2 linked regions of the Alligator mississippiensis genome follow. The protein of the gene in region 1 interacts with the protein of each later gene in a biochemical or structural test. Links are inferred from orthologs where the notes say so. Each region holds a gene or a part of one and is shown on either strand. Other genes may lie near its edges.

Region 1 (3,747 bases):
AGCCATTGACTAGTCAGGTGGCCTAATAATTGCAAAAAGCAAAGAAAAAAACCTATCAGATTGTTCAATGCCTCAGGTAATTTGGATACCTGGTTTACAGGTAGGGGAAATTGACCCATTATTGCACAAACAAGTATATTCCTCAGTTCATAACTGATAATTAACAAACTGAATATAATCATATATAATCAGAAAGTAGACTGATTATGTAGGTCACATAACATTGTCACTCACTACAAATAACAGGCAGCAAATCTTGAATTGTTTGAGTAACAAATGGCCTTTACACTGAAGAGACTTTATCTCAAATATTTAGCAAATACTTAATGTCATTTACAAAAACTAGAACTGGTTCAGGAAAGACTCAGAAAAAGAACAAAGGACTCAATTATTTACAGTAGTCTGACCAGCTGTCTGACTAAAGCAGCTTGCTCTTGCTAGTCCAGCAGTGTAAACAACAGTACCCGCAAACAGCCTGAAATATTTATTCAATAGCTTCCTGAGAATGATTTATGGGATGTGCAAAAATTATGACTGAGTGGTATGGTATAAAGGTCTGATTGGTATTTGACTGGGAAAAAAAATAACTCACTGTTAGCTTCACCACTTGAGACTTCTGTAGTCAACCCAAACTCATGTCAAGGTAATCTTTACACGACATCCTCCTATAGCATTGCTCTCATTTTCCAATCATCTATGACACTGAAGGGGAACATATTAAAAATAGTTGAAGTATTTTATGATAACAAAATGTATGGATTCCTTCTAGTCTAGGCATTCAACCAAGGAAACACAACCTTTCTGTGATTTGTGTAAACAGCTGGTGACAGCATTCAAATAAATACACACTTTTTCTCTCTCATTCTCTTTCTTTTATTCTAGGAAAATATTAGAAGTAGTCTATGTATTTTAATTGGAACAGAAGACACTGCTTTGAAATGAGGCCGCAGTAGAACCCAGGCGTTTACCGGGTCAGACCACAGGCCCACCTGGCCCAGTCTCCTGTGTCTCACAGTGACAGGGAGCAGATGCTGAACAGCAGAGTGCACTGGGTGTGATTCTTGCCAATGTAAAATCAGTGACAACTAAGATGTACACACGCGTCCCAGGATCTTCCAAGGTGAAGACGGAAGAAGAAGAAAGAGCTGTAAAGCCGCTCTCGCCTGAGTGCTGGGTTTCCGAGACCTTTGGTGTCACATCCCAGGCTGGCTGTAGCACGTTTCTGCCTGGTGCCAAGGTGCTGGAGGCCCAACCATGAGCTGGTGTCAGGGGCGGACCTGAAAAACCAGAGGAAAATGACTACAAGTGATAAAACCATAAGAACAGGAGAAGTGCCACTGGCGGGGTCAGGCGTAGGGGCAGGGAGTGTCGCACAGGAGCAGGGACGGGGTCAGCCCCCACTCCCGCGCAGCCTCCGGCACTTGAGGCGAGGGACTTGCGAGGCGGAGTTTCCAGAGCCCATAGGTCCCCTTGGCCCGGCCCCCAGTGCCGGCGCGGGTGCCCCGGGCGCGGCCATGCCCGCAGGCCTGGGCGGGGGCGGCCCCGGGCGCGGGGCAGCGCCGGCGGATCCGGGGCCCCCGGCCGCGCAGGACTCCCTGCCCCCGCGGGGCCGCCTCTTTCTTTCCCCCGGAATAAATAACATGGAGAAAATCCCCGCGCCGCTCTTGGCCGCGCTCCCCCGACCTGCCTGTGACGCAAGCGGAGCCTACTTAAGGGCGGATTAGCGGCAGCAAGACATTAAAGCCCAACCTGCCTCCCCGCCAAGGCGGGCTCCAAGCGCACCCCCGCAGCCCGCCTGCCCGCCCGCACCCCGCGCTCCCGCCCGGCCCGGCCCGGCCCGGCCCGGCCGGCCCGGCCCCGGCCCCGGCCCCGGCCCCGGCCCCGGCGCTGCGGGGCGGCGCACAGGGAGGCGAGGAGAGGCGAGGCGAGGCGAGGCGAGGCAGGGCGCTGCGGAACCCCCCCCGCCCGCCCACGGCATCGCTGGCCTCAGCCCCCGGGGGACCCCGGGCAGCAGGAGGGAGGAGAGCCCCGCCGCTTCCTTCCGCAGGCTCCTGGCTCCGGATGCACAGCGATGGGGGAATGGACCATCCTAGAGCGCCTGCTGGAAGCGGCCGTGCAGCAGCACTCCACGATGATCGGGAGGTAAGGGCAGGACGCCGGCCCGGCCCCGCTGCCTCGGGCCCAGGCGGCGGCTCTGGGGGCGCACCGCGGCGGGGCGGGAGGGGGTGCAGATTGCAGGGGAAATTGCGGCAAACTCCTCTCAAGTCCGCCCCCTCCGCAATGCCTCCCGGCCAAAAAGTTTCTGGTGGCGCCGGAGGCTGGCTCCGGGCACGCGGCGGGGGAGCGGGAGCCGGCCGGAGCCCGGGGCGAGCGGCGGCGCGATCAGCACTGGACAGCTCCCGGCGGCCCGGCCCGGCCCTGCCCTGCCCTGCCCCGGCCGCTCCCGCGGGCCCCGGGCACTGACGCGCGTCTGTGTTGCAGGATCCTGCTGACCGTGGTGGTGATCTTCAGGATCCTCATTGTGGCCATTGTGGGGGAAACGGTTTACGACGACGAGCAGACGATGTTCGTGTGTAACACGCTGCAGCCGGGCTGCAACCAGGCTTGTTACGACCAGGCGTTCCCTATTTCTCACATCAGGTACTGGGTGTTCCAGATCATCATGGTTTGCACCCCCAGCCTCTGCTTCATCACCTACTCTGTCCACCAGTCCGCCAAGCAGCGGGAGAGGAGGTACTCCACCGTCTTCCTCACCTTGGACAGGGACCAGGACTCCATGAAACGAGACGACAGCAAGAAGATCAAGAACACCATTGTCAACGGAGTGCTACAGAATACGGAGAACTCCACCAAAGAAGCTGAGCCTGACTGCCTGGAAGTGAAGGAAATCCCCAACCCGGCCATCAGAACCACCAAGTCCAAGATGAGGAGGCAAGAAGGCATCTCCCGGTTTTACATCATCCAGGTGGTCTTTCGCAATGCGCTCGAGATTGGATTCTTAGTGGGGCAGTACTTCCTGTATGGCTTCAACGTCCCTTCCATGTACGAATGCGACAGATACCCTTGCATCAAGGAAGTTGAGTGCTATGTCTCCAGACCTACTGAGAAGACTGTCTTCTTGGTATTCATGTTTGCGGTGAGTGGGATTTGTGTGGTGCTCAACCTGGCCGAACTGAACCACCTGGGCTGGAGAAAGATCAAAATGGCGGTGAGAGGAGTACAAGCCAAAAGGAAATCCATATATGAAATCCGAAACAAAGACCTGCCAAGAATGAGCATGCCTAACTTTGGCAGGACTCAGTCAAGCGACTCAGCTTATGTGTGAGCCTGTGACAGAACTGAAACACTGTGCCAGGTGGAACAGACCCAGACAACATTAGGGAAAGGTACATTGCTTAGGCAAGCATTTTATCAAACCACCAAGAAAGCCATTAAGGTATCAGATCTGCACTTATTGAACTAGATACAACAATGCAGTACGACATCAGAGACTGAAAAAACAGCTATAAAACTATGCTTGATCTAGCCTTACAGCACAGTTACTTTATTGCTAATGATCCAATGTTATCTTTTGACTGGAGTGGCTTGTTTTGGTTATCGTTAGGGTGAGATTACAGTCTGGACTGTCTGACTAATTGTTGTAAACAAGTGTAGAATGTTCATATTTAAAAAAAAAATTGCAAGGATGCTCTTTACTGGGGAGGGAGGGGATTGTTGCGATATGCAAATGTAAGCATGCTCTAAAAG
Region 2 (3,747 bases), on another chromosome or scaffold:
CTTTTAGGGTCAGGACACCTGAAGCAGCAGCTCTCAACCTTTTTAGACGCAAAGAATCTCTCAGAAAATGCCAACGCTTATGTTCGCATTCTTTGACTACAAAAAATAACAGAGCCATTTTTCTACTGCAAAGACCATGATGACAGGGCAGAACATTTCCTTTCATTGTGGACAGCTGGATAAAAACATCAGCTTGGTGCCATCAAGAAGGCAGACAAAATGCGAGGGATTATTAAGAAGGGAATTGTAAACAAAACAGAAAGTGTCCTTATGCCGCTTTATAAATCCGTGGTGCATCTACACCTTGAATGCAGTGCCCAGTTCTGGTTTTCACACCTCAAAACGGAGGCAGAAGAACTAGAGATGGCCCAGAGAAGAGCAATAAGGATGGTTAGCGTATGGAGGGGCTCTCCCAAGGGGGGAGACTACAGAGCCTAGGCCTATTCAATTTAGAAAAGAGCTGGTTGCAGCAGGGGGCACGAGAAGGATTTACAGACCAGTAAATGGTGAACAGACAGTACCAGGGACAGATCATCGACTCTCCCGAGACAGGAACTAGACAGTCACAGAATGAAGCTAGCAGGTTGCGAGTTCAAAACCAATTAAACCAAGTTTCTTTTCACACAGCAAGTCATGCAAGTGGGAACCTGCTGCCCTCACACGCGGGGGAAGCCGACAGTTCAGCCACATTCACAAAGGGCCTGGACAAATTGTGGGAGGAAAGCAAAGGGCACCAGGACCAGGGAGCGCGGGGCCCGGCCCGGAGGCTGCAAGGGCGACAGGAGCAACCTCGGGCAGACGCGGCCCGCGAGCCTGTGCCGGCCAGGCCGCTCCGCACTCCCCTGAGGGAACCTCCACCTCCCCTCGTGCCCTCCACGCCCAGCCGCGCCCGCGCGCAGCAGGCCTCGCTGGTCTGCGGAAGACACAAACAGACAGGAGAAGGCCTCACTCGCCCGGCGGCACAGGCCGCGGAGCCGCCGGCCCCGAGCTGCGGCAGGCCCCCGCGTCCGCGGCGGGCCACACGGGGAAGGGGAAGGGGAAGAGGACGGGGCCCCGCGCCAGCAGGAGCAAGGCCCGCGCCCGCCCGCCCCCAACGCCGCCTCTCACCGCTCCAGCTCCGGGTCCTCGTCCATGGCGGCCCTTCCCCCCGCGGACGGTTGCAGCACCGCGAGGCCGGCCGGGGAAGGGGCGGGGTGCCGCCGGGCCACGCCCCCTTCCGCGGGCGGGGCGACGCTGCCACGTGCGCCGATGGGGGCGGGGCCCGGCTGTCCCCGCCCCCCGGTGCCGCCCCCGGCCCGTCGGCTCCTGCCCGGGGTTCGCTGGTGGCCGGGGCTCGGCGGCGGCGGCTCCTCCCCCCCACGCCCTGGGGCCGGGGCCGGGGCCGGGGCGGCCGCGCAGTGCGGGACAGCTGCCCCCGGGCCCGGGGCGGACGAGCCATCCGTGGCGGTGAGTAACTTCCCGGCTCGGCTTAGGGCGTCTTCTCCCGCCCGGCCCCCAGCAAGGGCATCGCCCTGGCCCGCGCGGGGAGGCCGGAGCTGCCGGAGGACCGCGGGCGCTGCAACAAGTGTGGGGCGGGCAGGAGCATGGGGCGGGCTCGGGCGCAGCCAAGTTTGCTCTGGAGACCGCGGTGCGGGCAGGGGCAGGCGGCTGCCGCCGGCGGGGGGAGGGCGAGTCCCCTCTAGGCACCTCCGCATGTGCTCCCCGAGCCGGAACCCTTCCCACGCTGGGCTCCGGTCAGGGGGAGAAGCCCTGAATAAACAGGACTGCCTCCCTGTTGTTTGCCAGTCTGACATTTAATATTGTGCCGGGAATAAAAAAAAAAAAAAAAAGTCCCCCCCCTTTATTTTGCATCCCTGACCATTGCTCCAGGCGCAGTCAGCATCATGGTTGCAGAGGTGTGAGGAGAAAAAAGGGTTCATCCTTTTTTTCCTAGCCTATTGCCATTCCTCCTTTCCAGCACAGAAATGAGGTTTCTTCATGGTGGTTCTGGTCCTGCACTTGCTCAGAGGGAGGGGAGTGGGTATTTGCTGGCTGCAGCTGCAGGCTGGAAGAGCTACAGCTATTCTTTTCCCAAACCTGAGCTGTCATTATATGCTGAAGGCTGCACTGAAACCTAAATTGCATATGCAACAAAACTGATATTTGTGTTTCGGCTTGTGTACGAGGGATTGACTGCGGATGTATTTATTCAGCCTGTTACTGAAATACGTGTATGCCGCTCGGATGTAATTTTATGAAAGAGTTCTAAGGGCTGAGGAGGAGTTGAATTACTGTGTGTGTGGGAGGAAGAAAGAACAGCTGCAAGCAAGCCCCTGTTATAGGAGTTGGGTTCAGGTTATGTGTTTCACAACCCTACCATAGCAAATCATAGCTAAATGTACACCTCGAAGCATCTATAATAGACAGTTATTTCAGAAGAGTAAATTTCACTCTCTCTTCTCTAACAAAGGCCCTATTTTTTATTCATTAGTTTCTATCTGTGAAAAATCTGTAATAAGGGATACTTCAGAGTCATTCTTGCTCTTGATGAAAAGTTAGTAATCAGCAGTGTAGCGAACTGGTAATTTTGGATGTGCCCATGGCAAATATGACAGTCCTCTGTGACTTTTTTTACTGTGTTGCTAATGTATATACCATTGGATTGTTTACTTCAGTAGAAATCCACTATTAAGCAGTTCTGAGCCTTGTTTAATTCCTTTTTTAATTACATTACAATGTGGGTTTATTTTTGTCTTTCTACAAAGTAAAAATGTCTGTTACGGATTAACCCCAGGATATGGTTGATGATAGTGTCTGAAAATAAATGTGTGTGTTTGGCCTTCTGTTAAAAAGGGAAATTATTCTGAGCTAGACTCTTCATCTCATTAAATAAGTTGATTGATTGATGCTTATGCCTCTTCCCACTTCTTTTTGGCTTGCTGATGTTTTACCCTAAGCATGTAATCTGACAGCAGATAAGGAGGCTTAGGAAGAAACATCAGATGGTTTGAGTTAGCATCCCTACCCACTTTCAAAATAAAGATGCTGGTGCCATATGTTGCTGTGCTTTGTTAAAACAAATTTCCTCAAAATGGAGCCAAGGTGTATACATCTCCTTTCAGGAACATTAGTGTGGCTTAATAAAGCACTACTACCATAACTTTTCTGAGGAGTAGTAGTGGGAGTCCTGTCTCCCTCTACTTGGTGCTGTATTAGCTGATGAAGTATTTCAGGAAAAGAAGGATTGGAATAGGCTTACAAGCAATTATGGAGGAAGTCAGCTGGTTAGCACAGAACTGTTAGATAAGAAAACATTGCATGGTGAACTGGAATGATTTATAAAAATAACCTATTTGCCTTTTTAAAATTACTACAGCCCACTGATATAATTAGTAATTACAAATAAATTATTTAAAATCAATGCATCTAGTAATACCTTCCTAACTTGCTGAACAGTTCATCCTTTTTTAGGCTTTAGTTGCATCAACTCAAGCAGGCCAAACCTTGACCCTTGAATTCAGCCCCAGCTAGAGAAGTCAATAGAATACTTTCACATGTCCTGTCAATAATTTACAAGCCTAATGTCCATTTAAAATGAATCAATGTGTTTTTCAGTGAAACGGTAACAATTTTGCAAGAGGATTAGGCACCACATACTGGTGTTTGTTGCGGAAAGATGCATTATGTTATTTAAATATGAACATCTTAATTTTCATTTTTCAAAAACACGGACTCTGATACTGCTGACTGTTCTCACAGGTGCAGGGG

The links.
Region 2: the proteins of GJD2 (region 1) and LNX2 form a complex in vitro, tested with the Homo sapiens proteins (2 studies listed by BioGRID and IntAct, with this or other methods). The link is inferred for Alligator mississippiensis from reciprocal best matches to the Homo sapiens genes GJD2 and LNX2.

What each region holds. Positions count from the first base shown.
Region 1 is NC_081825.1:248,065,805-248,069,551, forward strand, and holds the start of GJD2 (gap junction delta-2 protein), read left to right. Parts: upstream 1-1,536; 5' UTR 1,537-2,071; coding exon 2,072-2,142; intron 2,143-2,481; coding exon 2,482-3,325; 3' UTR 3,326-3,747. UniProt on the Homo sapiens protein: One gap junction consists of a cluster of closely packed pairs of transmembrane channels, the connexons, through which materials of low MW diffuse from one cell to a neighboring cell.
Region 2 is NC_081824.1:428,179,458-428,183,204, forward strand, and holds the start of LNX2 (ligand of Numb protein X 2), read left to right. Parts: upstream 1-1,341; 5' UTR 1,342-1,446; intron 1,447-3,747. Other genes in the region: protein POLR1D, read right to left, coding at 1,108-1,133.